Linked DNA regions of Coturnix japonica. The protein of the gene in region 4 purifies or fractionates together with the protein of the main gene of each other region. This does not show direct contact. Links are inferred from orthologs where the notes say so. Each region holds a gene or a part of one and is shown on either strand. Other genes may lie near its edges. The genes, in order: RPP25, POP4, RPP30 and RPP40.

Region 1 (7,708 bases), on a different chromosome or scaffold from region 4:
CACAGCGACGGAGGAGGAGGGAGGCGGCGGGCAACATGGCGGCGGGAGGGACGGAGGGAGGACGGCACCGGGCGGCGGCCGCGCTCTGAGGCCGCGGGATGCGGGAGGAAGGGGAGGGGAGCGGGGACGGCTACGGTGGCGCCGAGGGGACAAAGTTGTGAGAGGAACGGGAGCGCGTTATCACGTGACGGCGGATGGGCGGGAAGGCAGTGGGTGCCGGCCGCCATTTTGTGGTAGGGTTGGTGGTGTGTGGTGTTCCAGCTATGAGGCCTCCCCTCACATCTTCCTGTCTGTACACACCATCATCGCCTTCCTCTGAGTGCTGGTTGTTATGATGTCTGATGCTGTGGCATCCATGTTGTACCCAATGCTGGTGGTGGGCCCGGCAGTGGGATGGTACCTGTCCTCATTCACCTGGCACGGCTGGGCCTGCTGCAGCACAAGGTATGTCTATACATCTGGTACATGCTGCTTGCTGGCAGCCAGAGCTTGGAGTCCTAATTTGGTTGTAAATTGTTTGTAGTAACACAGAACTGGCCTCAAAATGGAGCCACAGGGAACCTCACACTGAATCACAGAATGACCTGGGTTGGAAGGGACCTCAAGGATCATGTAGTTCCAACCCCCTGCCTGGCAGGGCCACCAAACATACGCCTTTACTAGATCTGGTTGCCCAGGGCCCCGTCCAACCTGGTCCTGAACACCTCCGAGGCTGCCCCCCCAGTCTGCTGTAACCCCATTTCCTACCACCTTTTGAACTCAGCCCTTCAGCCGGTTGTTCATCCATCCTATTATGGATATATGAATGCCCATGTTGTGTTTTAGAGCCCCCAGAGGCTTTAAATCGAGATCCCCCAGGGATCAGCTGCCCATAGGCAGCCATGCTGTGAGGGGATGGAGCCCTTCCTGGCAATAGACTGCTCGCTGTTAGCAGCCCAGCAGCTGGGTTAGCACAGCAGCAGCTTGGCTTCTCAGAGGGAGGCAGAGCCCTCAGGGCCCTCCATGCTTTGGTGGCTATCAGGGCCTGCAGCTGCTTGGCATTAAAGGCTTTCCACGGCTGAATGCAGCCTGGCTTTCCCAAAGGGAATCCCTGCTGCCAGGCTGTCTTCAGAGCATCAGTGAGCCCGAGGTGGATGCTTGTGTTGGTGAGACCCATTGCATCCCCATCCCTAAACACACACCAGTGTGCTGCCCACAGCTGAGGCCACTGTGAGGCTGTGCCACTATCCCTATAGCTCACAAAATGACCCCCAGATTACAATTCGTAGGCGCTTTGGGCTGTGCCTCCACAGCAGACAATCAGCCGCTCTGTTTTCACTCACAATACCCCCTTAGGACCCTGTGGAGCCAGATGCCATCCTGCTATTTATAAATGCTTCATATTCGGAGTTGCAGTCCGTTTTTATTCTGTTTTAACTATTTCTTCATGCAGGAAATCCTTGGTACGCAGCCAGCAATGCGAAGCATTTGTAATCCCCAGCCTCCTGTTGCCTCCAAATTGCCTGTGTACTGAATCAATTAACAGTCATTTTTGGACATTAACAAAATAATATGGTGAAATAAGTGGCTTTTTTTTCCCTCTCTCTTTTTCTCCTTGCCTTTCTCCTTGCTGGGGGCAACGTGAGCTGGCTGAAGGACTGTTAGTTCTCTAAAGTCTTCATGCTTAGATTGAGTTGCTTATTGAGTTCTGCCCCCAAAGTCCTGCTGGTGCTGGTTAGGAGACCAAAAACCCCTGGCTTTTACCAAGGCTGAGGCTTTGGGGTCCTGCTGGTTAGGAGATCAGAAATCCCTATCTGCGATCACTGAGGTAGAGTGTCATAACCCGGATTTCCCCATCTCGTTATGCACAGTTCTTCATTAACCTCGTTCAAGATGGAAACTGGTGCAAGATGCTGCTCTGAGGGCTTCTGCTGATCTACTTGTGGGGCTGAGGGCACGCTACAGCCTGTTCTGCAATGGCTTGTTGGCCTCAGACTGCATCGCATGCACAGCACCTGGCCAGCGCCGCTGAGCTGTGCATGGATTTGATTCTGGGGTCTGTTCGGTCCCCTCCAATTCTTATGCCAACCCCTCCTTTCTGGGAATGAAAGCCCCACAAAAATAAGAAAACAAATGGAAATTAATGTTCAATTACATGGTGGTAGATAAGTGAAATGAATCAATCTGTGGCAGGGCAGATAAGCACAAGCCTCCGGCCCAGAGGAGCAGCTGCCTGCTGAGACAGATAACAAGGTCATTGCCAAACAACCCACCCCCCTTTACTCCCCCTTCCTCTTCTTTCTCGCTCCCCTGGTCTCCTTCCATTCCCTCTCCCAGCCAAACAAAGCACTTTCCAAGCCAGCCTTTGGCAAAGCAGTGATGTCCGCTGACTCCATCCCAAGGCTGCGTTGTCTGGAGCCAACTGAATCTGTCCTGCTTGGGCAGGGGACCCAGGTGGATTTGGGTTCAGTTGGCCTCCCACAACCCATCTCTGCATTGCTTTGGTCCCCACGTGATGGCAAGGGGCTGACGTGGGGCAGATGGAGCTCCATGGGGGGCTTTGCCATGTCAGCTGGGGCCAGATGACTGCCAGGGCATGCAAAGAAGCTGGCCCTGATTCCTCATCCCCAAGAGGCAGGATTTGGCCAGGATCCCCTTGTTCTGCCTCAGCAGCAGCCACAGTCTCGCCCTCACTGTACCCATCTGTGCCATGGTCAGTGGCAAAGACGACCCCCACCCTCACCCCCCCCATTTCCCCATAGACATACTTCAATTATTTCTAAAGAGCTTTTATTTTCCATTGGTTTCCTTTTACCCATAGAAAAAGCGGGTGTTTCACTCCAAAGGGCTATTCTGGGGAGCCAGCCCATAGCGAATAATCCGCAGCCAAACCTACAAAGTTCCTCTTCATCCCAGCATCTGTCCATCAGCTTGTAGATGATCCACCTGATGCTCCCTGTTGTCTTCGTCATCATGCTTTCACCATGGCTGCAAACACCTCCGGGAGAGGAAAAACTTGAATATATGATGTGGGAAGAGGGGTTATTTCCATTCCTGTTCACTGGAGGGGCTGCTATTGAAATGAACAGCAGTGCTCCAGGGCTTGTTTCTTTGGCTCTCAGGCTGCAGCAGTTCTGAGAGAGGAAGGATCAGCTTGGGGTATTTCAGAGCAAAGCACAAAATAGCAACGATGCCACAGAGGAGAGGAAGGAGCAGAGACAAAGCAGGGAGCTGGGTGAGAGGGAGCAGGACCCATCTGCTTGTTTGTGCTATTCAGGATGAATCACAGGAGCCACGAGGCACGGAGCCCAGCATTAATAAACCTGACAGCTCCTCTCGGGGGTTAATTGCAATGAAGGTGTTACTCTGATGGGCTCTTTGCAGCTGGCTGAGACATCCCGATGCAGAGCGGAGGCATGCAGCTGCATTTCCCAATCTGGGGAGAATCCAAAGGATGCTTCAGCTCTATGGGAGTCCTGGAGGTCTGCTGTGCAGGGGGCTATTTAGCAGGGCTGACAGGAGGCACGAGTAGCTCCGCATCCCTACAAGTGCTCGCAGCACCAGGCAAAAGGGAGGAAAAGTTTGGAGAGGGGAGGTTTTCCCACAGACCTACACACTGCAGCCGCCCTTCATAAAATGGGGAGCCAGTGGGATACAAGGATGTGTTCTGCGTGGGGTCAGTAGCCCCCCCAGACCCTGCTGTGAGCATGTCATAGGGTCAGTAGTGGCCGTCCATCTGGCTGTCTGTTGTCCCCGAGCCCTGCGGGCTGCTGGCTCCCGCTACCTGCAGCTTCTTGGGCAGCAGTTCCTCACGGGCAGGCGGTGGGGGCCGCTTCAGCCCCTTGGCCGAGGAGCTCGTGGGGTCTTCTCCTGCCTCTCTGGGCTCAGGGGGTTGGTAGCCCGTCTGGTTGGGGTCCAGGGGGTCACGGGAGAGCAGGATGCAGATGGAAGGGACGTTCTTATGGACGGTCAGATTCTGTGCTGCAGTGCCAGGCAGCGGGTCCTGGTTCTCCCAGACCTCCAGCAAGGTTTTGTAGCGTACCTTGGTGACCTGGTGCAGACCCCCCAGCTTTCTCTTCATGATCTCCACGCAGGTGATGGTCTTGGTGACCGCTCTGCCGCAGCCGCTGAAGACAATCTGCCTGCTGCCCTTCAGCTCCATCTGAGCCATGGCGAAGCTCATCAGGTTCCTGATCTTGCTGCCCTCCTTCACTTTCATCTCCACCACACCTGGGGGTAAGTCAGGGAAGGGCAAGGGGCTGTCCTCCTCTGACGTCCTGACCTTTCGGAAGTTCTCCATCCTACACTGGGCAATGGGCTTGGCCGCCATCCCTCACCCCACACTTAGCCCCCGCTGCCTTCCTCCAGCTCCAACGTCACGTCCCCAGGACCCCCAGCCCCTTCCCCTCTCCTCGTCCTGGTGCTGGCTGTCCCCAGGGGAGGCCAGAGCTGTAGGATCCCCTGGGTGCCCCCGTTCGCTGCTGGCTGCAGCTCTCGGCAGTGCTCAGGCTCCTCTGTTCCCTCTGCAGCGCTTGCTTCTGCCGCTCTTTGCTTCATTCTGGACTTCAGCAGCCCCCAGAGCTGTTCTGTGTAATTAGCAGATCCTCCCCCTCTCCCTCCCCTCCCTCCCCTCCTTCTCCTCCTCCTCCTCCCCTCGCTCAGCCTCCCATCCCAGCACCCTGCTGCTGCTTCCATCCCTGGGTGGGCAGAGGGAGAAGCTCTCTCCTGGCTTTGTGATGCTCCCCAAGTCCTGCCCCCTTAAAGAGAACCTCGTCCCTTCTCTCAAGGACACCAAGCCGCCCGCAAACAGCAGCAGTTGTCCCCTGCTCCCCCCGCCCCAGCCTCCGGATCATTGCACAGTGGAAAGAGATGCCGAGTATTGCCTTGCTGCCAAATCTTATCGGCCTCTGGAGGACCTGGGATTATTTTCACCCCGAATAGGGCTTGCAAAATCCATAAATAAATGAATGGATCGGCCAGCCCCATCCCCGCTGCCCCAATGCAGCAAGAGTGGGTACCACTGTTGGGACAACCCCAAGAGGAGAAACTGAGGCAGAGCCAATGGCGTGGCTGAAACAGATTAAAGCCTCTGTGGCAAAACACTGCTTCTGAAAGATGCTAAAGCCCCTAGGAAAATAACAAGGAAGGATTTCAACAACCATTCACACAGCAGGGAGGAAAACTGCGCTGTGGGATCAAATCCTGCCACCCGTGGTCCATTTTATCGCAGCGTTCTGCGGCACTTAAAATGGAAATGAATCGTGTTATTAGCAGCTCCATCGCTAATTACCATCTGAAGCCATTCATTACCCTGTCACTGTGTGTTTGCTGGAGGACAACAGCAGTTATTCCAAGCTGAGGAGCAGCAGGATGGGAAAGGGACAAAAGGAGGGCTGAGGGGATAAAAGCACTACATGAAAAGTACAGGGAATCGGTTAAAACAGGAGAGAGAGATGGTGAAAGCTGGAGCAGCAGTAACGTGAGCCCCTGCCCTCCACCTGCCCTCGCTATATTTTCTTTCATCTGCTGAATGTGGGAGCAGTTCGGAAAGTTGAAGCATGCGATATGAGGAAAGTCTCCGTCCATCTCTGCGTCACATCGGGGTGGCTCAGGTCTCAGGTGCTCGTCACATTGCACGTGGGACAGCACCTATAACAGTGACATCCCTAAGCGAGACACTATGCATCTGGCTCCCCACTGAAACCCCTTTGTAAAGCCATAACACAACGAGCAAGAGGAATAATTGAGGGACCCCAGCCCCACAACCTTTGTATGGTCCCAAAGCCCTGTGTAAGCTCATATTTACAGCTTTCAGCTCTAATTTGGGATCTATTGTGAGCTGGTCTCCCATTTAGGGATAGCTAAGCTTGTTTCTGGTGCTACTCATATGGACCTCAATCTACGGGTTGACTGGAGAGCTGCTTAGCTATTGCTGGTCCTGGCTGCTGGGCTTACTTCATGGCTTGACCTTGAGAGTGTGGATCTACTAGAGATGTGCCAGTTGATCTGGGGTCTTGGTTGGGCTTGACCACTATCCTCAGCTCAGGTATGAATCTCTGGGTCATGGCTGGGCTGTCCCCCTTACTGTGCTAGTTATACTCTGACTAGGAGGAGAATATGCCCTTCTCAGTGTTGGTGCAGCAACCAAGTCTTGGCGATATGTTAATTCTGGTGCCGCCCTGATGCTATTGCCCTCCATACATATCACACTACATAGAGGGTCTCCTTGTTACATATGGATTTCACCATATCCATGACCTGCATAGGGTTGATCCTAATGCATACACAACTTAAACCCTATGGAGGTTCTCCCCCATATGGTGGCTGTTGAACTCTTGCCCATGGAGGATCTCCCTTGCCCTGTGTAGTGTCTCGAATCCATACGCCCCATGTGGAGCCTGACAAACTCTTGCCCCATAGAGGGTCTGCCTCAATCCATATGGAGCTTACCCTGCTCCATCCAGAGCTTCCCCTGACCCAAATAGAGCTATGAACTATTTCTCCATCCCCTACAGAAGGTCACCCAACCATATGGAATATGCCAAACTCCTTCATTTGGAGTCTCTCCTGCCCTGCTGCCCCCGTACCCCATAGGGGGTCTCCCACGACCTACAGCTCTCAGCCCGAGCTCTGCCTTCGGCCCCCTATAGGCCCCCGTCCCTATTCACTCCACGCTCGGCGGCGGCAGGACCCTGGACAGTTCCAACTTATCTCGCGAGATCCGGAGTGCTGCCCCGTTGGCGGGGCGGGCGGGTGACGGCGTAGTCTCGCGAGAGCGCGGCCGCTGCGGCAAGAGCGGCGCCGGGCGGCCGCCGCCACCCGCGACGCGACGCGTGGGAGCGGTGCTGTGCGTGGGGACCCGCTCGTGACGGCCAAGGGGCTGATGGGCGGGGGGGGGGGTGTCGTGCAGCACGGGGAGGGCACCGGGAGGGCACGGGGAGGCCGCTGGAGCCCAGTGGGGAACGCGCCGCGTGGGTGTCCCTTCGCTTTCCGTGGGTTTTCGCCTCTCGGTGAGGCCATTTCCTTGCGGGGATGGAGCTGAGGGAGCCCCGCTGCTGTGCGTGGGCCGAACCACGCGGCTGGAGGCTGTGCTAATCGGCAGGGTGCTAAGCGGGGAGGGAGCCGGGATTGAGCCAGGTGTCCGCGCTAAGTCGGGCCCTGTGCTGAGCCCGAAGGGGGGAGGGGAGAGTTTGGGGAATGGGGGCAGCTGGGGAGCAGCCCCACTCCCCTCAGTGCCTCCATCTGTGTCCTCTGCCTTCCCTCCAGCTCTGACGCAGCTCTCGGCTGCTTTCCCTCATCTCTACAGAGCAAGGAGTTCTGACTGTGCCAGCATGGCAGGTACGGCTAATCTAGGTGGGGGGGGGGGTTGGGTTGTTTTGCACTCATCGCCCCTCATTAATGGGATTTCTTGTTGTAGAAAAGGTGAATAACTTCCCACCGCTCCCCAAGTTCATCCCCCTGAAGCCATGTTTCTACCAGGACTTTGACGCTGAGATCCCGCCGCAGCACCGCACCATGGCCAAGCGGCTCTACTACCTCTGGATGCGTGAGTCGGGGTTGGCTGTGTGCTCAACACGAGCCAAACAGGGGTGGTGTGCCTTGTCCCCTTCCAGACCTTCGTGCCCAAACCCACTGGGGATGGGGTAGGGCTGCAGCAACTCCCAGATTTCATAGAATGGAAGAATCAATAGAATTTGGTTTGGAAGAGACCTTAAAGATCATCCAGTTC
Region 2 (7,952 bases), on a different chromosome or scaffold from region 4:
GATGCACTGGATGATGTAATGTATCTTTGGCCAAAACTTACCATTGGGAAAGTGCACAATCAACACAACCACACCGTATCACACAGACCTGCAGAGTTCAACAACCATTTCCTAGGAAAAAAAAGGTATGAAATTCCCCCAAAGCCTTCTTCCACAGATAAATTTACTGTGATGTAAAACAGGCTGGTGTACGTGAAAACTGGAGCCATGTATGCTGCAAGAAGCTGCAAACAGCCACATTTTCTCCAAAGACAAAGCAATTTTTGACTCCTAATACTTGATAGAGCTGGGTTCTGCCCCGTGTAGGAGCGGGTCTGGAGCTCTCAGCAGGCAGCCCTGCAGCAGGACGGCTCGCTCTCGGTGCTGGGCTGCCCTCTGGTGAGGAGCAGAGGAGTGCTGAGAAGCAGGCAGGAGTTAAGCTGGCTGAACACTCACTGCTTCAGCACTGCCAGGGGCTGGGAAATGTATTAACAACTTGGTATTTGGGTAAGGGAAATCAGATCGGAGCGTTTAAAGCGGCAATTATTTTCACCAGTATACCTGTCCCAAGGGACCAAATGTGACTGCTAATACAATTTGGCCAAGAGGAACAAACTGCATTGATCTTAAGAACTCCAGTGCTGGCTGAGATGCTCTTTCTGGTGAATTACAGTATCTGTTTCTTGTATCAGCTGCAATCAGGAAAAGCAGTCCGTGATTACAGCCCAGTCACCTCCTATGCACATCACTTCACTTCTGCTCATCTCCAGCTTCAGTTCACAATTACTCTTGAACAACAAACAAACAAAGCAACACCACAATCATCTCTTCTTACATCATACAAACACCTCTGTTTTCTGCAGGTGGATACTCTGCACCTCACTTGTAGCTCTCTGTGCTTCCCATCACTGAAATTCCCCCAGCACATTGCTGTTACCTGCCTTGGCCTGCACTCGTTTCTCCCATCACCCACTGTAACTCAACGCACCGACAGCCGAAGCAACATGGCCCCCTGCTGTACACATGTATGGTGGTTCATTGTTGGGTGTTCACAAATACATAGATACATAGACTAAAAAAGCAATAAATATAGCCATACACAGACTTAATGGGATAAGAAATACCAATGCTAGCACCTGCAAAGGGGAATAAGTAATATATATTAGGGGTTTATATCACCATAAACTTGTATTGTGCTTGCAAGCTGATTTACTTGAAAAAGTAAAAAGCTTCAAAGGCCTGAGACTAAGACACTTCTGACACTAAGTGAGGTGGAGACATCCAGAAACATGCATTAGAATTATCTGCACTTCTGTTTACATATTTCTGCATTGATTTTATTCCAAATTCCCTTTTTACTCATCTTCCCTCATTTCTCTGAGCCTTCTCTTCCTTTCTGATCCATAAAATATTTCCACGTATTCTTTTTCCTCCTGCTCTTTTTCATGTTTATTTGATTGAGTCCCACTCCCAGCTCAGAGCCCTTTCCCTGGAACACACACTAACAAGCTGACCCAGCTCTATCAGACACTGTCTCTGAAGATAGATTGGGAAATGAAGATGTAGAGCTGTTGGAAGAGACTGGCTTCCCCAGGCACCTGTTTAGCCTGGATCATTGGATTTACTACACTGGCATCACCAACACCGATTTGACTATTAATCCCTTAAGTGCCTTAGGAACTGCAGCATAAATCCAGCCAAGGAGCACTCATACGGCCCTGAAGACCCATAGCGTTCATCCTGGCACTCCATTCATGAAAACTGATCTTTTCTTAAATAGCAATGACAACTCAAGGAGTCCCTGCTTTGTAAAAACAAGGCACCTGTTTGCTGTGGCAACATCCTACACTGCCAAGAGACCTTTCATACACGCTGTATGGGAACTGTTGAGTCCCAGCCTGAATCACTGGGCACCTGAGAAAGGACCTGCTCAGCCCTGAGAGCACAAGTGGAGGCAATTCTCTTTGTGAGTGGAAGGGTGGAGCCTGGCTGCACCTCTTACACCTCATTTAAGGGCTGACTGCCACCAGGGAAGGTTCTCTGGTTGGAGATCCCTCCTTGGTGAAGCCTGTGACCTTAATCTTCAGAGATGGGTGAGCAGACCTTTATCCTTCCTTTTTAACACCATTCTGTTGTATTAGTCCCTTTATTATTACAGCTCTTGTATCACCTTTCCATCACATTGATCTTTCTGGTTGTTACACAAACCAACCAGTGCTTGTGCTTATTAATCTGAAGGGACTGGCCTTTTTTTCTCTACAAATACACATTTATCTGCAGTTTTGTCCCTTGTTACACACTGCTTTAGTACCTCTGTGCTCCACAGCAGCACTCAACACAATGCTCACATTTCCTATGCTCTGTCATGGCAGCTCTGTCAGCCTCCTTCCCCAGGGGGCACTTAGTTACACGTGTGGCTGATACCCACCCCGTGATAGGAATACAAACACCTCTATTTTAATGTGAGCTTGGACTTGCTAAGCTGAGGAACTTGTGGTACTGTTTCCAGAGCACCTCTGTGCCAAGAGGTGTGGGAGTGCAGCAGGGCTGGAAGGGGCGAACCCCTCGGAAGAGCAGGAGATGCTGCGTGCACATGGATGTGTATCCTCGTACTAAACTGCCATGCTCAGGCCCAAAGTTCCTACTGCTGCAGGGGGCTGAGCTCGGGTTCCGTAGCCCCCACCCCGGCACACAGAGCGTTGGGAAGCGCTTGATAGAGCGGCACTGTCCTGCAGCTCCACCTGCCGCACTGGAGGGGAAGGGGGGGATGCAGCCAGGCCCGCCCCGGTCGCACACACGTCACGGCTGCGCCGGAGCATCGAGATGGAGGGTGAGTACAGGGATGGGACGGGACGGGAGGAGGATGAGGATGAGGAGGTAGATGAAGGGCCGGCTGAGCCCGCTGTCTGCCCGCAGGTGTGTTGTACAGCGGGCTGCCCCGCGAGGCGGCGAAGGAGCTATGCCTACAGGTACCGCTCCCATGTACCCCCACAGCCTCTGCCCAGCGCTGCCTCAGCTCGGCGGGCAGCCGGGCTCTAATTTAATTAAAGTCTGTTTTTAAACACCTTTAGCCCCAAGGGTCAGAGGAGGCCAGAGCGTTTGTGAGCGCCTTCCTGAAGCGCAGCATGCCCAAGAAGAAGGACGAAGCCATCCAGGATGTGCTAACGCGGAAGGCCGTGGTTCTGGAGCACCACTGCAGGAGGAGGAAGAAGCCAAAGAGAAGGAAAACAAAAACCTTCACAGCCAAACAGAGGAGGGAGCTGGGGCTGTTTGATATCGAGCCTGAGCAGCAGAGGTATGAGAGTGAGTTTGTGTGCTCTGTGGCACTAAACCACAGCACAGCTATAACCTGGGCTGCCTGTTGGATGAGCTCATCCCTGACCAGTTCTTTCCTAAGTGCTGCCACCTGTGACTTCAATTCTAATCCCCAGAATGGCTGCAACCAGTGAATCTCCATTTTGCATTATGTTCCTTGACCCAGGACATGCTGAGTAAGGCCAGTGCTGCTCCTAAAAGGAAGCAAGGGGGAGAAAGAGGAGCAGAAAGCTCTTAAACACATCCCTCCCCTTGGGTTTGTTCGGAGCATATTCAGCTTTACTTGGAGTGGTTTACTAAGTGATCTGTGCAGCTGATAACATGTGTAATTCTTAGTTTTAACTCTGCTTACTAAGACAATCTACAATATAATATATTATAATATATATAATTAAGTTATTGTAAAATATTTGCCTTCTAACTGCAGATATGAACTATTTCTACCACTACATGAACTCTGGAAGCAATACATCAGAGACCTGTGTTATGGACTTAAACCAGATGCGTAAGTTTAGCTAATCTAACCACCACCATTTTTTAAGGCATTTCAAGTAGTAATTTGATTAAACTTAAATGTCAATTATTTAATAAGGATATATGCTATTTCTGTAAGCTTTGACCAGTATTTCAATAGGCACAGTCACACCTTATAAACATGCTTTTCCATGTATTTTTTTCCCCTCTCTGATCCTACCCTTTTCTTCAAGGCAACCACAGATGGTGCAGAGCAAACTGCTGAAAGCTGACCTCCATGGAGCTGTTGTTACAGGTATTGTTTGCTTTATTCTGCAGTTATCTGAGATTTGCTGTACTTTCTTATGTTTCAGGTGCTCATTGAATTCCTTTCAGTATCAACTCTAGGATAATGTAATTGTGTTGATGGATTCTTTCTCCATTTACCAGTGCTGCTTAACTTTTCAACTGCTCTACCAGTTATCACTATAATTACTTCAGACTATTATCTCAGACTTCTAAAATGATGAGGCAATAATGGAACAGCAAACCAGCTGCACCTGAATTTATTCTAACACATTCCTATTCTTGTTCTTTCAGTCACAAAATCAAAGTGTCCATCTTATGTTGGGATAACGGGAATAATCCTACAGGAATTCAAACATGTCTTCAAGATTATTACTAAAGACAACAAACTAAAAGGTATGGCAAATGTTTTTCAGTGCTTGTTATAATGTGAGTTACTGAGAATCGATCATATTATTATACTTCTGAGTAAATGTATGAGCACATACATACATTGTTCTTTACCACTGCTTGTAATTCTTTGCATAGTGGCAGAAGTTCATGTCTTTATCTGACATGTAAAAACCCAATAATGTACCTTAGAAGTAATTTAAAAACATATTTCCAGTGATTTATAACATGATTATGCACATGGTTCATTCATCTGATTCACTGTAGATCGTTCTCTGCAACTCTTACTGCACACTTGTGAACAAGGACTGAATTCTGTCAGTTTTGCCCTTAAATGTACAGGCTGTATTGAGTGTATTTCTCACACTGCAGCATTAAACCTTGACATGTTATGAACCTGAAGCCTGCATGTGAATAGTATTCCCTGGTACACCAGTATCTATGCATAATGCTACTTCTCCATTTTTCAGTTGTTCCCAAAATTAACAACGTATTCAGTGTGGAGACTGATGGATTCATTTCCTACATCTATGGAAGCAAGTTCCAGCTTCGAGCAAGTGAGCGGTCTGCAAAGAAGTTCAAGCTGAAAGGAACTATTGACCTATGATTTCATAGCAAATCAAAAGGAAGTTTAATTAAGATGTCTGCTGTTCTCCTTCAGTTTACAAAACAGGTTTTCTGGCAGACTGAAAGACAGAGTTAACTAGCTGAGATTTTTCTGAAGTGTTTCTTCATACTGAAGAATGACTGGTTTCATCTTTAAAGCAGTCTGTCAAACTGCTGAAGTCTTAGTTGTATCTTTTACTTGTGTGTAATGTTCTGCCTTTTATTAAACTTGTGATTAGTACTGATTACCTGGTTTTTGTTTCTATTTTGACTGTATATTTGTTCAGTGAATGTTTTATCTTATAACTTGCTTACAGAGCCTGCTTCGTTCAGAAGGCAGCAATAACACCTGTCACTGTGTAAGGAGACTGCAGCTGGTAACTGCTTTTATGTGATTGCTCCTGGATCAATCATTGCTGCCTGTTCAGCTTGTATCCATGCTAGACTGAAAAACCTTATAATGAAAGCATTGGGCAAAAATGTCTTTCATGTTTACTGAGTCAGCAACAGAGGTGATTTATGCTGCAAAAGGTATCATGTCCTGGCAGGTCAATGAGAACTCCTATGAGTATCAAGAATGCTTTCTGGATTGTTTTCCGCTAAACCAGGGAATGTTTTAGTATCTGACTTCCAAGGACTGATAAATACCAAGGTCAGTAACTTTCTTATCTTAGTCTGGAACTATTTATGCTTTTTTTTCCCTAGAACTACCTACCCAAATGGAAAAATACATTGTTTGGGGTAATGGTTAAAATGCAAATGCACAAGAAGTGGAGGTGAAACCTCTAACTGAGCACATGCATTTAAACAAGCAAGACATGTCTTAAACCACAGGTGCTTCAATCAGGACAGTGCCTCACAGGTGAGAAATCATGATTCTTTCTGGGCTTGTAGCTACTTGCAATCACTAGACAAGGACTTGGATTCTGTTCACGAGTACTTTAAAGTTAACAGGCACTTAGTCGAGCTCTGAAGTAGTTACATCAAGGTATCTCCCTTTAAGCATAATTCCTCCCAAAGTTCTTTGAAATCCATTAGATTTCTCTGAGAATCCACAAGGAAATATCAACAAATTGGCAGAAAGCTTAAGTGACAGTAGAAACTTTCTCTGCAGGACAAAGGCTTCATTTTCATTTTGCTTATAGCTATCAGTGTAACATCTAATTAAGACATCTGTTAAATGCCTATAATATTAAATTAATAGAGGGAAGCTAATGGAACTTTATTGGCGTAGTCCTGTTAATTAAAGACCTTTAATAGATGTCTTAACTAGGCATCATTAATGGCAATGACACACAAATTGGAATTAGGCACGATCCCATTTCATTGTGCTGCAGAGGACATACTATATTCTGCCATACAGACACACAGATGAGCACAACAGCATTTTCCATAGCTATTGCTATTTACACTTTTCTACATTTTACTTCAGTGGCAGGAAGATGTGCTGCTTAGCAGCCCCTTTCAGTAAATAACAGTAAGGAAATAATTATTTACAGTGAATAGTGCTGGAGAGGTGTTCAGAGGTCTCTGAGGTACTTAGATGCTAGCAGCACAGATGACAAATGAAGCCTAACAAGAGATTGAACAGCCAAAGCATTCAAACTACCTTTACTGCTGTTGCTAAATCACCTGAAGAGGCATTTTTACCTCATCGAGGTGTTCCAAACATCCAAATGTAGGTTTTTTTTAATAAGAAGTTCCAGTTCCTTACTGTTCCTAATGCAGCATCTCCCACCCCACAGGAGGGCTAATCCCTGGCTCCTGCTATTTGTAATGCTCCCTCACCACACAGTAAGATTTCCATAATTAATTTCTCATTAAATCTGCAGTGATCTTACCTTGGGATGCGAGTATAAGGCTTCAGCGACACATCAGCTCTTCTTTTTAGCACCATCATCCCTGCAACCTTCTCTAGATGAAACCCCAGCAGAGAATGAGGTGCCCAGTGCCCACCAGCACTATGTAACCAGCCTTCTGCACAGCACAGCTGAGGCCAGCATGCAACAATTGCTCTCCTAGGCAACTGGTTCTCTACTGTGACAAACACCTGAGTGTTCCCCTTACCCAGCTGCACTGATTGCCTCTTGGCTCTGAAGGTCAGCACAGGGAGCCTTGGTGAGCAATAGTTGACCTAAGTTAACGGATGTTCAACTTCATGTGTTTTCTTAAACAGAAAGAAAAACTGGATTTACAAATCATTTCATCCCTCAGTGGTGACCAAACTATGGCCTTACGGACCTTGCCAAGAAACAGAATTCCAGATTGTATGGCAACAATGAGCAGTTCCATGGAATTTTACAGAGTTTTGATCCATCTTTCCCCTCTGTTAATTCTGTCATTTCTATTCCGAGCTACATTTCCCTGTGTTTGATGAATATGTATTGCTTTGGTAAGACAGAAACCTCCCTCAGAGTGCTGCTTTAAATTAACAAATGTGAATGCATGGGAGCAGGCACCCCCTGCAGCTGAGCTACACCTGGGCTGCAGAGCCAGCAGCACCCCGTGCTCTGTCTACAGGCCATTCTGACACCTGGGCTGCACAGACAGCCATTTGTTTCCAACCAAGCCACTCACTGTTTATTGTGTTAGGACCTATTCCACTAACTTGACCAACAGAACTGATTTAAAACGTGTAATTTTTCATCTCTGATACCGGCAGATCTGACAACCACCACCTTCTACAGGCAGCTGAATGGCACACTGAAGATTTGCAGTATCAGCCTATCGATACAAATCTCTTCCTGGCACATTAATTAATAAATGCAGCCTTGTTTCTTTCAGCTCTCAGAATGAGCTCCATGACATACATACACACTGCTGCAGGCCCCAGGCCTGCAACAGGATGGTTAAGGAAAGCTGCTCCTGTGTTAGGGGGCCAGATGTCAGTGAAGACCTCTCAA
Region 3 (7,455 bases), on a different chromosome or scaffold from region 4:
TGTCTAATAATATACAAAGCTACAGTTTTATCACTGAGTTTGATTATAAATCCCTGTTTCTCAGCGGTTGGTGCTTGCAGCGTGGAACACACAGCTTCAAGTAGAGGCAGAACAATCTTAAGCAAGCAGAGACATTGATGTGCAGTTTCACTGGGACATCACACGCCATGTTCAGTTAAAATCTGAACGTTCCACAGAGCAGCCTCACAGTGAAATATGCCACAGGCTCCCACAAAGATTCACCAGCCAGTACAGCTGGCTTCTAGCCAACAGACTTCACAGTGTGGCCAAAACAAAGTCCTGGGCAACAAAACAAGGTCAGGAACGGACAGTGATGAGTATTTATTACTAGAATGCCAATTTTGAAAATGAATTTACGAAAACCCCACAGAGAAGCAGGCAGAACAAATGCCTATTTTGTCTGCAACCAGCTACCCTGCACTGAAGCAACAGATTTAGACAGATGAGACTTTTCACACAGCAAGCACCGTAATTTGTGTCACCTGAAAACACACTTTTTTTTCCCCCATAAGAACTATGGTATGTCTCTGCTTGCTGTCTCCCTCTGCAAGCTACTATTTCTGTACTTGTTTCTGCACAATCATCTGGACATTGGGAACATATCTTCCAGAAAACAGAAATTACATCAGTGCTGTCTAACTCATCTTGACTATCTTAACTGAGCAGCAGTTCAGTGCTCCTGGAAATTGGGAGAAAAAGAAACTTCCCACAAAGTTCCTGAAACGCTGTATCTACTTAAAGAGCAAAGATGCAGATGTTACATTTCCCTAGTTGAGGTCAAACAAGTGAAAGTAGAATAACTTGCATTCAAAAGCTTCCTTCTGCACGCTAGTTACAAAACTCTTCTCACGCTCACACCAAGGCATGGTATAGTACATAACTCATAAAAGTTACATTGAGCAGGCACATTTCCAGTGCTTCTTTATTTGGTTAGAACCTTAATTTGGAGGCAAGTCCATAAATGAGAAGCCACTATATATAACATCAATAATATTGATGTTGTATCTCAACACCAGTAATAAAATAGACTCTTATCATGACATTGACAAGCAAAATAAAAACAAAGGAAAAACTACTTTATTGCTAGTAGAATGATGCAAAAGCTGTTGTGACTTACACCAGCATTTCATAAAACCATGAGCCTACTGAGAGCTTCGTTAGCTACTAAGAGCTCAGAGATAACTCACTGCAAGGTTTCTGCAGTACTTTACATGTCACAACTTGTGCCCCTCAGCTTGTTGTCAGATAAGAATAGAGAATCACAGAATCATTAAGGTTGGAAAAGACCACTAAGATCATCTGGTCCAACCATCTACCCCTCAACAGCAAGCCCACTAACCACGCCACATCTACACCTTTCTTGAACACCTCCAGGGACAGTGAATCCATCATCTCCTGGGCAGCCTGTGCCAGTACATCACCACTGCTTCTGAGAAGAAAGTTTTCCTAATATCCAATCTGAACCTCCCCAGCTGCAACTTGAGGCCATTACCTCTTGTTCTACCACTGCTGCCTGGGAGAAGATGCTGACCACCACCTCACTGTAACCTCCTTTCAGGGACATGTAGGGAATGATAAAGTCTTCGCTGAGTCTCCTCTTCTCCAGACTGAACAACCCCAGCTCCCTCAGCCCATATTACCTGTGTTCCAGACCTTTCACAGCTCTGTTGATCTTCTCTGGTCATGCTCCAAGGCTTTTAATATTCAGAATAAAGCTGGCACAAAAGCATCTTAAGTACAACATTTTATGTAATTTTTATATTGGTCAAAAGAGAAACTTGAGTCAACATTTGGATGACGTCTGAAAACGCTTCACTGAGAAGAAATCTGTTATAATTGCTTTTTTGGATTAGATTTACTGAAGCACTAACAGGAAGAAAAACTAGAAAGTCAGGAGGTAGCAAAACAATCTGGACATTAAAAAAATCCAACATGACACAGTAAAAGTTGTGTGACATGGAGACTGCTCAGGTCCAGGTGAGGCAGCTGTTATGCTGCAACTGCACACCATGCTGAGCACACCCTGAGGATAACCTTGGGCTCTTTCTTCCTATCCATGGCAAACGTCTCATGTTACTGTTTGGCTTTAAGTTTGATTTCAAGGACGGAGATAACCTTTGCACTGTGTGTCTAACAGGTTGATTTAGTCAGTGTTCCTGTGACACAAACTCAAGATTTCTCCTAGTGAGCAAACCACATGCTGGGATTGTTATTGATCACAAAACAGAATAGAAAGCAGATAAAGTTTTTACTGCACAATTATTCTTTCAGGCCATTTAAGGTACACTTTACTGACTTATGGTTCTAAGGTTTAGTACAGAGACATGTTTTAAAACTTCAGGTACTATAAGAGGGAGACTTAACAGGCATGCCATCTTGAAAACATTTTTCATATAAAAAAGTACACTTGACATGATGTTTCTGCCTTAGGGATACTTTCTATTGAGCAAGTTCACAATGATTCCAGAAGAGGTAGGACAAGGTGGAGTGATGCCCTCCTGCCCTTGTCCAGAAGCCCAGCAATAGGATGACCTTCCAGATGTGGTAAAATACCATTCAGCAGTCCCATTCCAACATAATTCCTCACTTGGAAACCAAAAGAATAATTCTTCTTCAAGCTAAAAAAAATCAGTAACTGAAGAACCAAGCCAACTGGAGGGTGCAGGAAGACTCAGCCCCTGGGTAAAGACTGGATGGAGGCTCCTGTTGACAACTGGCTCAAGCTTGAGTCTTAGCCTTTTTGCAGGCTGGCACTGTTTCTTCCTCCTCAACCTTGTGAAGCTTCTTCACTGTGTAAACTACCCCACAGGCACTCTTCCGAGTTTCTGGAACATACAAACAAAAGCTGAATTACCTCAAATAAACTGATACTAATGCACTTAATGCATGCTTGCTGCAATTCAGCATGTTTCACAGCCAGCCATGCAGTTCACGCAGCAGGTAAGCCACCTGCACAGTCAGGACGTAGGACACACTTGGGAAACTAAAGTGGGAAATATGAGGGTGGGTGCAGAATTAGAGCAAGAATGAGGGAAAACTGAGGTCTGCTGGGACTTTGGGGGAGGGGGGTTGGGGGGGACATACTTGAAACCACAGGCAAGCAGGCTTCATTAGTTCCATACTGACAGAAAGACACATTCTTGAACACATGTCAAAAAGCATTTCAGTATTTCTGAGCAAAACAATGTTCTCAAATAAAATAAATAAACATTCACATACTTCAGGGTTCTTAAAAAGACTACATTGGCACAGCTACACTGGCAGAGGTTCACATACACATACCAAGTAAGTGGCTTCATAGCATTCAACCATCTTTTATTTACAGAACTCACAGCATTACCATTTCATGCTACTCCTCAAACATTTGCCAAACACCCAGTAGAACCAGTCCAATTTCAGAACCGCTACTACAATGCTTCTCTGCAAACACTGAAGATTTAAGGCAGACAAGGCTACTAACAAATACTCTTGCTAGCAAAGTGGTTTCATAAGAGCTTTGCCAAAATATATGGACTTATTCTGGTCTACTATTCTTTGGGGCACAGGAAAATTACATTTATTAATTTTTAACCTCACAGATAAGAAAAATGAAGGTCTTGAGAAATTCCACATAAGCTTAACAGAAATTCTTCCAACACTGTCACAATGTAGATGAGTAGCATAGCAGGATGGATGACCCTGATCATAGAAATGCATTCTTGAAGAGATCATAGCTACTCACTATGAATTACAGTATATTCAAACTGCAATTCTACTGAAACAACAAATGCTAACCAAATTCTACCATGTGTCTGCAGCTTAGAGCAGCTGAAGTTGTTAAGACTAGAACCTACCTATCCAACAAATCCTGGAAGAAGCAGAAATTAACAGCTAGACACACAACTTGGTGACAAAATTAAATTGCCATTGGAATACACATCAAAAATCTAGGAACACCAAGAACCAGCAAATAAACAAGTGAAAGGGAGGTTAGAGAAGGTGAATGAAAGGGCCACAGAGCAAAGCAAGAGTATATATGATGGCTAGAGAACAAACTGCCATCTGGACACATAATTCAACCTTCTAATTTCTGCAGGAGGCAAAATGCTACATTTCTACTTTCTTCAATATTAAAATGGACAGGTAAAGCAGAAGAAAGCTAATGCAAACTTCCTCTGCTGAGGATAAGAAAGCAAGCTTTGTTTCACCAGAACTTAAAGTCATGGTACACCATATGAAACACCTCCTCCTAAGCATCAGACACATGGGACTTCACAGTTTGCATCAAGTTTGAAATGGTCCTCACCAAAAAGTGAGCTAGTCAGAAGTAGATCAAATAATGAAGTATCAGAGAAACACAGCAATGGCTGCTTCTGTAGTCATGCTGCAAGAAAGTAAGGGCAAAAAAAAAAAAAAAATCTGGGTGAACCTGTTTTGAATTCAGTAACACAGTTTCTGCTGCTGTCACAGATACGAGCATTATACTCCTTCTGAAAAAAAAAAGGTATCTCCAAAACGCAGGAGAACAGGCTGATCTGTGTTGTAGCTAAACAATTTTTGAGTCTTTTTAATGTGGTAAAGCAAGTACTCCAGTACAGACAGTACCACCAATTCAGCCAGTGATTTGCTAGCACAGCAATCATCTCTTGTTGCAGAAGTTCCTTTTCATTCACTGAACTAGGCAGAAAAAAGTCCAAGCTGACTTATTCTCTATGGTCTCAGACCTTTTGGAAAACATGAACTAACATGAACTTACCTTAACAAATGCAAGAATTGCTTAAGTTTGCACATGCTTTTCACTTACCTCCATGAAGTATGGTGGCTCTGCAGTTGGTGGATACAGCTGCCTTGGCTTCGCCTTCTGACAGGCCAAACAGCAAACCTCTGTCACCTTTATTCAGGATCAAAATGCACAGGAAGGAATAAAAGGAGCAAGGAAGACTGTATGACAGATTTGCTTACTCTACAAATAACTGGGAATTAGCAACGCCATAACTTAGAGTGACATTTTGCATAAGGTTACCCAGAGGCAGAGACCTGAGGCAACTAATTCTCCCGGCTGCAGTTCCCCAGAAGCCCTCCTGGAAGGCTCCTGTCAATGCTGCTTTTTTCCAGACAAGCAGCTGTCATTTGAAAACAAAAGTCTGTCAACATAAGAAATTTTATTTCGAACATAATATCAAATAAAAAGCTACCCCCTTGAAAAATTCAGCTTTGTGGGAAAGGGCACTGTCTGATACAACAGCATTATGTTGAAAAATTCCCAGCCACCTTGAATAGGGATGACACCAAATTAGGTATGTTAATTTGAGTTAAGCTTCACTGCTCTTTTTAAGAGGGAAGAAAATGTCACACGTAAAATCCTTCCAGCCTGAACACCCTCCCACACAGTTCTCACAACTCAGAGCAAATGCCTCCCCTTCCAGGGGCAGTCTGGACACACACCTACAGGCAGGGAGGAGGAAAAACACATCTGAATTCCTGTAAGAAAGGGAGGAATGATGCTTTCTGTCAAGAACACAATCCTTCACTTAATAGTCATTTAATAGTACATATGGAACTAAGGACTGAAAAATTAAGAGCCAAAGTAACTAGTGCTAAGACAGCAGCCTCATTTTTCCTAAATAAAAACATGATTTTTATGGCTTATTCTATCAAAGATTGAGTGTCTTTGAGATCAGAAGTAATTTTTGGTTTGGTCAGCAGTGCTCGCTGACTTCAAAGGTTTTTTTTTTATTCAAAGATCTATGATTATGGGTTTTTTACTCCTTTTCCCACTTACACTCAACACAAATATCAACACATATCACAACACAGAACTCATCTTTAACCATTCTCAGACATCACTATTTACAGCAACAGTTCATGTCACTCCATGACCAAGATCTGTGTTGCTCCTTCCACACCCACGCAGAACTCTGAGTCATTGAATTAGTCACCAACAAGCATCACTGGGTAAAGTTCAAGGAGAGCAAGGAATGGAAAAATCTCAAAACCAATCAACTTTCACATGTTACTATTAATTGCCATCACTGACTTGGAAAAAGGATACAGATTAGCCACATCATAAGGACCTCGTAATTCTAGAGGCTAGAACAAAACAAAGAAGGTTGGAGGCTGGTAGAATGTGAGCACATAGTACAAAGCTATTTGCAGAAGCAGCCATTCAGGAAAGCAAAATTAGATGCTACCTAATAGCAAGCCGCTGAAGATGTGCTACTACAATCAGGAAAATACCACTATTTTGCAAAACAGAGTCCCTCTCTGTAAGAAAGCTGTCACAGAAAATACCATAGCAACAAAAACAAAGCAAAACAAACAGGTTAAAAAAAACCCCACACAATTCTTCAGTAAAACAATTGATCAAAAGCATACAAGGTGGCAATCTTAGAACTTTAGTTATCTATTAACACATAAAAATTGTAATTTTAAGTATTTAGAGCTGCAATAAATGCTCAAATTGTTTTCACTTGAACAAAAGCCCAGGACTTACTCTTTCAGCTGCACTAGATATAACGATGTTCTGCAAAACACAAGAGAACAAAAGAATAAACATTCATCTGTCAGCATCAAGAAATGGAAAACTTACAAGCAGCAACGACTTCATGAGCATTAGTTAAGTTCAGGCTGACAACACAATTAACTGTGGCTGTCTGGTGCACTCAGATGAACAGAACTCCACCAGTCTGAGGAAACAAATAAGCCCAGGCTACCTCCCCAAACTCTACAGAGAAAGGGCCACATGGACAAGTCCTCCTTTGTAGCTATAAAGCTAAGCTCAGAGAGCTCTGAGATGAATAAGCAACTCACCTTTTAGAGGGTTATGGCCAAGAAGTATAAATCTTAGTGATGCTATTAAACAAGTGCACTCATATCTCTTATAGAGGACTTTGAGGGGACTTAAAGAGAAAAGAAGAAATGCAGAGTTGTGCACACTGTGTTAAGTACTACTGCCTTTGGAGATAGTAGCTGAAAGGGACAGGGATACACGCAAGAGCAGTCAGGCACAAAGTGGATGCTGAGCATTATACTAAGGAAGGCACAGATGATCTTGTAAGAGAATCCCAGGAGCCCACACAAACCACAGCTCTAGGAAGTCTGACTCCTAAATTTTCAACCTACTCTTTGCATTGCAGCAAAACCCAACCCATTCATGTTGCCTTAATCAAACTCACACTGATGGAGGAAACCAGTCTGCAGTCAGGTAAAAGCAGCCAATTCACACCTCACACCATACATTGTGTTTCCTCAAACCTGAATCCCCATGAAAAGCACCAGGCAGAAAGACACCCTCCTTCCTTCACTCCCAAAGGTTTTCTACACAGCAGGTACATGACTGCTCATGGACTGGCATATAGCACAGGTCAGCTGCCAGTGCTCTTATGTTAAGCCTCTAAGGATGCTCACTCAAGGGAAGATTGTTTAGCTCAGGTGGAAACTGCAGCAGAAAAAAAA
Region 4 (8,175 bases):
TTCTTTTATAGTTAAAAACAAAATCAACCCTCTATGATCTGGGAAACTCACTCATTCTTGTGATGCAAGAGTGGGAGAAGAAAAGGGAAAAATCATTCACCAGACAGGGCTCCAGGGAGCAGGAGTGGTTTTGGTCTTCAAGTAGTCACCTCTGTTTGCCTTTTAAGGGCCGGAATTTGGCTGAGCCCTGCATGGTGATGGGGGATTTTCCTGACTTTGTGTCTCCCTTTAAACAGAGACATATTTAAACATATTTTCTAAACCTATTATTGTGCACTCCTTTGTATGTTGATGCACGTTGTTAACAAACCTTCTGATTGTGAGACCATTGGAATTTTTGCCTGATGAACTGTTTCTCTTGCATTCCCAAATCACAAAGGTCCCATGCTGCACTTCTCACTGCTGCACGTTTGTGCAGCTCTGTGCTTTCACCAAGGATGAGCAGCAGAGCTTGGTCGTGAAAGCTTAGTGCAGTAACTTCAACCATCCTTTTTCAAGGCAATTCCAAAATCACGCGGTTGCCTATTTCAAGCTATGAAGTTAAGCAACCAAAACTGTGTAATAACTTAAAATAACCTAAGATTAAAAAGAAAGCATCATGTTCCCAGGCAGGAGTTGTTCCCTCAGGAGGATTCAGGTATCAAAGTGGTATTATCAGAAGTGAAGTTTAAATTTGAAGTTGCACTTTTTATCTATCTTGTGACACTCAAATTTGACTGTAGAAATAGATAAAAATAGTAATACTGGATACACCAGTTAAGAACAGTTGTTTTTCGCACATATGCCCCTGTTTCCTCACATTTATTTTAGAGTAAATCTTCTCTTTTCTCATTTTAGTCAACTCATTATTAGAATTATGGATGCCAGAGTTCTTCTGAGACATATATTTCATTGTATTTACAATTATAGACATGAAGTTCAATAGCCTACTTGCATTATACATTTCAAAGATATGATGTCATTGCTTCAGATACTTCTTACTTAAACACTTTTACAAATACTATTCTCCGTTAGTGGGCTGTCCTTATCATTCCATTTTTGATACATTTTTAACATTCAGACTACACTGTAGTCCTTCCTAAGCCTTATTTCTGCTCTGGGATCTAAGCGTAAAACAGGACCTTTTCACAAGCTGCCCTGTATTCAGCATGTATATTCCTCTGTCATTTGGAAAGTACTTTTCAAAAACCTCACTGAGACTTAAATGAGGATGAAGGCTTTCAAGTTTAGCCTCCTATGTTTAAGAAGTCTAAGCTTTTGCAAAATTATTGACATCCATGTTCAAATAACCCCGTAAACACCTATTCATGATGCGCATTTATTACCAGGCTTTGAAACACTTCTCTCCAGTCACCTGGAAGCTCTGTTATGAGAAATGGGCTTTACATGGAACTGATCATAAAATCACAGAGTTAAAGAATGGCTTGGGTTGGAAGGGACCTCAAGGATCATCAAGCTCCAACCCCCCCTGCCGCATGCAGGCCAGCACCCTCCACATCTAATATTAGATGATATTATCTGTTCTGGTCTTCATCATTTTTAAGACTGGAGGTCTCCCAAGCATTTATCCATTATTTTTCCTGGATAAACTGTTTGAGAACAAAACTAATCAAAAGTTTTGCCTCTACAGGTCATCTTTTTATCTGAGATCTGAGAGCTTCTGCATCTTTTAGTACACAAGCCATTCACAGCAAAACAGTTGTTATTTGCCACGGCGGGAGGAAAAATTCTGTAGAGCCAAAGTCTTTATATTCTGCCTGCTAGCGGTTTGTGTCTGGCTGAAGTTCCTGCCAATACCGCTGTTCTTGCTTCTGGCCAAATGTGTGAGGAAACAGGCAGTTTTAAACAAAAGTCTGGCAGTTTTAGACAAAAAAAATCCAGGCAAGAAACTGCATCGTCCATTCAATCAATGAAGCAGCAAAAATCACATCAGTGTGAAGATACAGAACTTCAAATAAGCTTCTGAACTGCACTGTTTGCTTGGAGGATTATTGCTCTCTGCAAAACATACTGAAAGGTCACCACCTCACTGCTATTGTCCACTGCATTTAAATGTGAAAAACAAAGCCGCTTGCACCTTGGCACAGTTCAGTGCCAATACTTTATGGATCTTCCTGTTCTGTAACATGAGTCAAGAAATGATGACTAAATGGGTTCAGTCATAAACCATAATGAAATCACACCCACTAAACATATGGCAGGAATGACAGAATGTTACATAGAGTCGTTAGTCTTCCAATTTGAAAAGAAGACAAGGCTCCACAGTTAAACAAAAATACTCTGAATTTGGCCAAGATAAACCTTTTGTTAGCAGACAGAGAGGGACTTGTCTTGGGAAACAGATGTATCCTTCTCGAGGCAGGGGTAAGAAATTTCATTTATTTCTTCGGTTGGAATAATAAGTAGAAAATGGCATACAAAAATTAAGTGAAAATAAGTAGAATCTTTGGGACAATGGATAAAAAAAGGAAAACTCAGAGAGAAAATTACTCTTGAAATAGGCCTTTGAAAGAGAAAGCCTAGAAGTCATTTGATTTAATCACTGAAACCTTTCAATATTCAGAAGGAAAATGAATCAGTGGCTCTTCAAGATTTACTCTGTTCGTTAGTTCATTCTTCCTCTTTGGTCATTAAGCTGCTTCTCTCTGTGACTCCAGCCTGATTACTAAAATCACTCCACGAGTTAATTAAGGGCTCCACATTTTGGTTCTCTAAGATTAACCTGGCTACTCTTGATCTCATTGAGTTATCCTTAGCTCTGCAAGTAAGTTTGAAAAGATTTGGCTAGGACTGCTCATATAATTAGGAAGTAGCGGCACGAGGGGGAGGCATTAGCTACCAGAAATCAATTAGTAATTGAGACTACACACTCTGTGATCTACTTGAAAGATTCTCTGTTATATTCTGCACTCTGTTACTGCAGTGTAAGCTAAGAATTACTCCCTTAACATCAGCTGATGGCATGAAGCAACATTTTCAGTGTGAATGGACACTGACCAACTGGTGTTGTAAACAGAATAACCTGGAACAGTAAAACCTTTCACTTCAACTGTGCTCATACATGTCTGTTGTTTGTGTAGGAGACAGAACAGGGTGTGAATGGCAACACTTCCTATTCCTGGACAACCCTTTCAAAAAAGAAGCATCTTCTTTCAAAGGAATTGCTTTTTGAGCTCCTTACAGCGTAGCGGCTGCTTGAAACATTTTCAAACCAAAGTTAATTTGAGCCCTTCTGCCTCACCAAGCAAAAAGATAAACAATTCAATTTTGGCACCATTAGGTTGCATTTACAATCTATCATCCTCACATTACAGACACCAGAAATGAGGTACTGAATCACTGAAGTAGCTGCCTTTAAATGCCTCATCAGTTTGGGAGTGAAAAGAAACGAGAGACATGTGGGATTCATCTTTTTTTTGTTTTAGTTGGATATGGAAATGGAGGCAGAAGCTACAGCAGATTAGTAGTCCAGATACCAGGAAAGGCAGCATATTTAGCTGAATTTATTCTTAAATATTTACTGTATGATAATCTGAAGTGTCTACTATGTACAGATGGCTCATAAATGGAAACTACCATGAATTATGCCAAACATGTACAGGGAACAAGGAGCCTCGAGCAACTTCATTACGGCTGCAACCTCCATTCGTGTAGACATGAACAGTGAGAATATTTTTGGTAAGCTTTAATCTCCCATCCTATACTCCTTACTCCATGTAAGTACTATGTACACAACAGTTTGCAGTACAAGTTTTAAATGTAAGATGGCTGTTGTTCAGCACGAACTTTGGCTATGATACTGGGAATTGCCACTGAAAGAAAGCAGCTTCATAAATTGTAGTCATTTTCTTACATTAAAAAGTGATCAAGGCACTTGCTTTGTTTTAAAGAATAACAAGTTCCTCATCTATTATAGATAGATAATAAACCACACCACTAGGTGGGGCTTCTTTTCTGCCTTTCCTACTGGAGGTGATGGAACTGCGGGACTTAATTCAGATTAATATGTATGATCTACTGCATTATTAGTCAATGAAATACAAAGCTCTGTACTGTGTTACAGACACCTGCTTGCTGGTATGTATGTGCATCTACTTAAAACAATCCCACTGTAAGCCATAAGAATAAAAATGGCTGTGAAATAAAGTACCTCTCTTACAGGATCTCCTACGAGATGCCTGTGATTCCATCTTCTAACACACTTCAATGCATAACTAACCCTAACTGAGGAAATGCAGACTCAGGGTTGTATTTACTCCTTGTGCTGCAGTTTGGAAAACGACACATGCAAATGAACAACTTTTAACATTGGATCTATGCAGCCTATACAGGTCTATACAGTGTTTCAAGAGAGGTGAAAGAAACAGCTGATGCACTACTTACGTAGGAAGCTGTGACTGCCCGGCCCTGCCCTTCTGACCAGATACCAGCTCTGACGTCCCAGCAGAGTCCAAGCGAGTTCATGTCTCTGTTGATTTTGGGTGAGGTACGGGCCTTCTCCTTGCGACAAACACAAAAACACAAAACAGAAACCATCTGGGTGCAAGTTCACATAGAACGCCCTTTATATAAGAACTACTCTGCGTGAGATGGAGCTCTGTTCACACTGAAGCCCAGTGCAATACAATGGCATATAACATGGTTGAATTTGATCCACATCAGCACACTTACTGAGGATGCTCGCCATCGATGCATCCAGATCACTGACAGCAAGCTCAACTGTTATAGATGGGAAGAAGAAGATGAGTTTTGAAGTGAAGGAAGCTGGGAGGAAGAAGATGACTTTTGAAGTGAAGGAAGAAGATAGTTCAGAACTAACGGTGCTAGAATTTGGGAAAAGATGTTATTAATGTAGTGTACAAACTGTGATGATCCCTGCATATCTATCAATCCCTGTAAACTGTTCAATATCACTTAGTAGTTTTTTTACAGGTTTTCTGTAGCAATAACAGGAGATTTTCTTAGTGGAAACTTGACTGGGAAGTTGAAGAGAGATGGTATATTTGAACAAGATACATTCTGTGTAGTGGGGAACTTTCTGCCTGGACGGACAGGAAAACCTAGTTCTGGTCTTGAAGGTTTGAAGTTAACATCAGAATTGCATAAAAAGAAATGATGGAAAGTGTATGAACAGTCTTTGGGATTAAATTGTGTGTCTGCGTTGAATCAACAGAATCCTCCTGTTACATGACCCTGGGTGTCCCCAGACTAATATTTTCATGTTCATTTTGTGTCCAGCGATGACTATTGATCCAAGGAGCTCAGTGAATGTATTAAATTGCACATCAAACACACCTCCCTCCCTGCAGTGTATGTCATAAAGATTTATCCAATTTCAGATCACACTCACTAATACGAGCCGATGACTAACTCTAAAAATCTGGTACTCCTCCTTGCGTGCTGCTGCCTCTTTTCAATTCTTTTCATGCAGGATGGGTTGTCTGAACTGCTTTTTCTAAACTTCTGTGAACAGTAGTCCTTCCTGCAGGCCTACTTCCCAGACTTGCACAGCATACAAGGAATGCACATTAACCCCAGAGGAGCAGACCCACCAGGAGCTCAGGCAGTACTCAGAGGGCCTCTGATAGGACATGAGAGGTTAAACTCTGTTAAACTTCTGTTAAACTCTTTGAAAGGGCTGACAATAGCAGGACACGGGGAAATGGTTTTAAGTTGAAAGAGGGAAGATTTAGGTTGGATGTAAGGGGGAAGTTCTTCACTAGGAGAGTGGTCAGGCCCTGGAACAGGCTGCCCAGGGAGGCTGTGGATGCCCCGTCCTTGGAGGTGTTCAAGACCAGGTTGGACGGGGCCCTGGGCAACCTGATCTAGTAAAGGTGTATGTTTGGTGGCCCTGCCAGGCAGGGGGGTTGGAACTACATGATCTTTGAGGTCCCTTCCAACCCGGGTCATTCTGTGATTCTGTGAGAGACCAGTAGCGATGGCGGCCATTGCCTACAGGGCCCTTGGGAGCACTGGGCCAGGGTGGGCAGCCAGAACTGCTCAGCCTAGGGACAGAGCTCTGGAAGGAGGTGGGCAGGCTGAGGGGCATGAGACCTTGCTAACTAGTTCCCTGAGCAGCCTGAAGTCTGCTCTCCCCATAGCCAGGGCTAAAGTTTTGCTGGCAGTTTTCCTTTTATCATTAAAGATGGACAAAGGAAAATGGTGGTTGATCTAGAGGTATCTTTTAGTTCTTCAAGAATAATTTATTGTTGTCATTGTCCTGACTAAGTGGCCCACAGCAGTGTTCCACAATATCCCCTTATTTGCTTGTCCTTTAATCCTTACCTAGAGGCTGCCAACTGTGCCATGACCAGCTGCCAGCTCTGTACAGCCCAACCTCTCCATCACACACAGACACCTCCCACTCCACCTGCCCTGCCTGTCCCTGCAGAAAGGCCCAGAACGGTCCATTGCGACACACCAGTCACGGGACTCTGCCCACCAGGTTTCATTGATGCCAGTGATATCACGGCTCTGGGGCTGAGCCAAGGCTTCTGGCTCCTCTCACTTGTTTCTCAGTGCTGCATGCTCTAGCAACTTTCCAAAGGTGCCTCACCACAGCCAGCACCTGATGTTGCGGGATCTCTCTAGCACACAGCCCTGAAACCAGCTGTTCACCTGGTCAGTCTTCATGTCAGCTTGGTTAACTCCAGGTGCCCCACAAGTGGAATGGGTGAGCTGTGAGTCTCACTTCCAGGCACAGTTGACAATGGGCTTATGTTGCATCCTCTTTTGGTCAAAGTCAGCATTAACAGCACAGCTGTCTGTTGTTCTGTTTGTGGCCTTCTGGCAGCGCATTGCAGGCCTCAGCTCAGTAACTCCATGGCTTACTTCCATCACAACGAGGCTGTCCAAAGACCCAAAGGGTGGCATAACCTGGGACAGGCTGGTTACGGGGCTGCTCTATGAGCTGAGCTGAAAGCAGAGCACCAGTGATGAGCAGCTGACAGCAAACGGCTATTAGTCATGTTTTCCATTGGCACCGCTGATGCCAGAGAGCGTCTGTCCTTCATTCCTGTTCCTATGAAGCTCCAGAATGAACTACGAACAAATGCTGCGTACAATGCCAGGAGCTGGAGGAGTCATTACTTGGCAGCAAGGCTTCACACTCAAAATATAACACAAAGGGTGTAAAACACGCGAGAGAGGAAAAGAACGGAGTTTAAGAACCATGTGTTTTTGGCAGCCATCCATAGAAATCACCACAGACAATAGTGATGGTGTGCACAAAGAAGAGAGGTTGGAAAAGGTCTCAGATACGGGTCTGAGCACATTAAATGGGTGTTAGCAGGATGCTGGTGGCCACGTGGAACCCCGGGTAAATAAAACTGATGGGAATTGGATGCCCCGTCCTTGGAGGTGTTCAAGACCAGGTTGGACGGGGCCCTGGGCAACCTGATCTAGTAAATGTGTATGTTTGGTGGCCCTGCCAGGCAGGGGGGTTGGAACTACATGATCCTTGAGGTCCCTTCCAACCCGGGTCATTCTGTGATTCTGTGAATTCAACTGGAATCTTATTAGACATGACCGAGACTTATGAGACGTGTGCCACCAGAGCTTCTGGCCTTTATTTTCTACGGGCACTGCTGGGTCCAAATGAGGGGGAGAAAAAGCAGCTTTAAAAAGTGGCTTAAAAAAAGTAATAACCCGACTTTAAGAAGGGAACGGATTTGTTGTTCAATTCACCTGTCTTAGGGGTTCTCCCCCGACGTTCAAGTCTCAAAGCTTTGCACGGCACAACTGGGATGTAAGCACGCAATCCGTGCACTTCTCTCCCTCAGGACTCTTTGCTCCTGTGCCCACGATCCGCAATTTGGGGCCCGCTTGCCGGAGCCGCTACTCGGCGGGTGTGCGGGGCCGTAACTCCTCTCTCCTCCAAAAGCCGTAAAACCCAGCACGTTGCTCGCAGCTCACTCCTCCTCGCTGTGGTAACCGCGGCCCCCGGCGGGACCTGGCCGCGAGGCAGCGGCGGCCGACGTGCCCGTCCGCCCGTCGCACCCTCCCCGTACTTCCTTATTGTTTGAGCCCGGGGAGGTCCCGCCCCGCCCGCGGCTCGGCGGCCGCAGCTCTCCGGGGTGGCTCCGGGCCCGACGGGGACGCGCCCCCCGCCCGGGGCCCTCGGCGGGGCCGTCGGATAAAGCGGTGCGCGCCCGCCCGCAGCCGCCACAGGGCCCG

Evidence for each region.
Region 1: the proteins of RPP40 (region 4) and RPP25 purify together in Homo sapiens (affinity purification with mass spectrometry; 3 studies listed by BioGRID and IntAct, counting the BioPlex papers as one, with this or other methods). This does not show direct contact. The link is inferred for Coturnix japonica from reciprocal best matches to the Homo sapiens genes RPP40 and RPP25.
Region 2: the proteins of RPP40 (region 4) and POP4 purify together in Homo sapiens (affinity purification with mass spectrometry; 3 studies listed by BioGRID and IntAct, counting the BioPlex papers as one, with this or other methods). This does not show direct contact. The link is inferred for Coturnix japonica from reciprocal best matches to the Homo sapiens genes RPP40 and POP4.
Region 3: the proteins of RPP40 (region 4) and RPP30 purify together in Homo sapiens (affinity purification with mass spectrometry; 3 studies listed by BioGRID and IntAct, counting the BioPlex papers as one, with this or other methods). This does not show direct contact. The link is inferred for Coturnix japonica from reciprocal best matches to the Homo sapiens genes RPP40 and RPP30.

What each region holds. Positions count from the first base shown.
Region 1 is NC_029525.1:1,714,167-1,721,874, reverse strand, and holds RPP25 (ribonuclease P protein subunit p25), read right to left. Parts: upstream 4,585-7,708; 5' UTR 4,310-4,584; coding exon 3,698-4,309; 3' UTR 2,753-3,697; downstream 1-2,752. Other genes in the region: cytochrome c oxidase subunit 5A, mitochondrial, read right to left, coding at 1-37; SCAMP5 (secretory carrier-associated membrane protein 5), read left to right, coding at 7,495-7,525. UniProt on the Homo sapiens protein: Component of ribonuclease P, a ribonucleoprotein complex that generates mature tRNA molecules by cleaving their 5'-ends. Also a component of the MRP ribonuclease complex, which cleaves pre-rRNA sequences.
Region 2 is NC_029526.1:7,093,374-7,101,325, forward strand, and holds POP4 (ribonuclease P protein subunit p29), read left to right. Parts: upstream 1-2,684; 5' UTR 2,685-2,802; coding exon 2,803-2,809; intron 2,810-2,895; coding exon 2,896-2,948; intron 2,949-3,029; exon of another isoform or gene 3,030-3,050; coding exon 3,051-3,274; intron 3,275-3,721; coding exon 3,722-3,799; intron 3,800-4,001; coding exon 4,002-4,063; intron 4,064-4,347; coding exon 4,348-4,449; intron 4,450-4,913; coding exon 4,914-5,050; 3' UTR 5,051-5,295; downstream 5,296-7,952. UniProt on the Homo sapiens protein: Component of ribonuclease P, a ribonucleoprotein complex that generates mature tRNA molecules by cleaving their 5'-ends.
Region 3 is NC_029521.1:17,060,341-17,067,795, reverse strand, and holds the end of RPP30 (ribonuclease P protein subunit p30), read right to left. Parts: intron 6,524-7,455; coding exon 6,494-6,523; intron 6,091-6,493; coding exon 6,053-6,090; intron 4,885-6,052; coding exon 4,805-4,884; intron 2,847-4,804; coding exon 2,740-2,846; 3' UTR 1,077-2,739; downstream 1-1,076. UniProt on the Homo sapiens protein: Component of ribonuclease P, a ribonucleoprotein complex that generates mature tRNA molecules by cleaving their 5'-ends. Also a component of the MRP ribonuclease complex, which cleaves pre-rRNA sequences.
Region 4 is NC_029517.1:63,867,574-63,875,748, forward strand, and holds the start of RPP40 (ribonuclease P protein subunit p40), read right to left. Parts: upstream 4,552-8,175; 5' UTR 4,537-4,551; coding exon 4,384-4,536; exon of another isoform or gene 4,323-4,383; intron 3,679-4,322; exon of another isoform or gene 3,555-3,678; intron 1-3,554. UniProt on the Homo sapiens protein: Component of ribonuclease P, a ribonucleoprotein complex that generates mature tRNA molecules by cleaving their 5'-ends. Also a component of the MRP ribonuclease complex, which cleaves pre-rRNA sequences.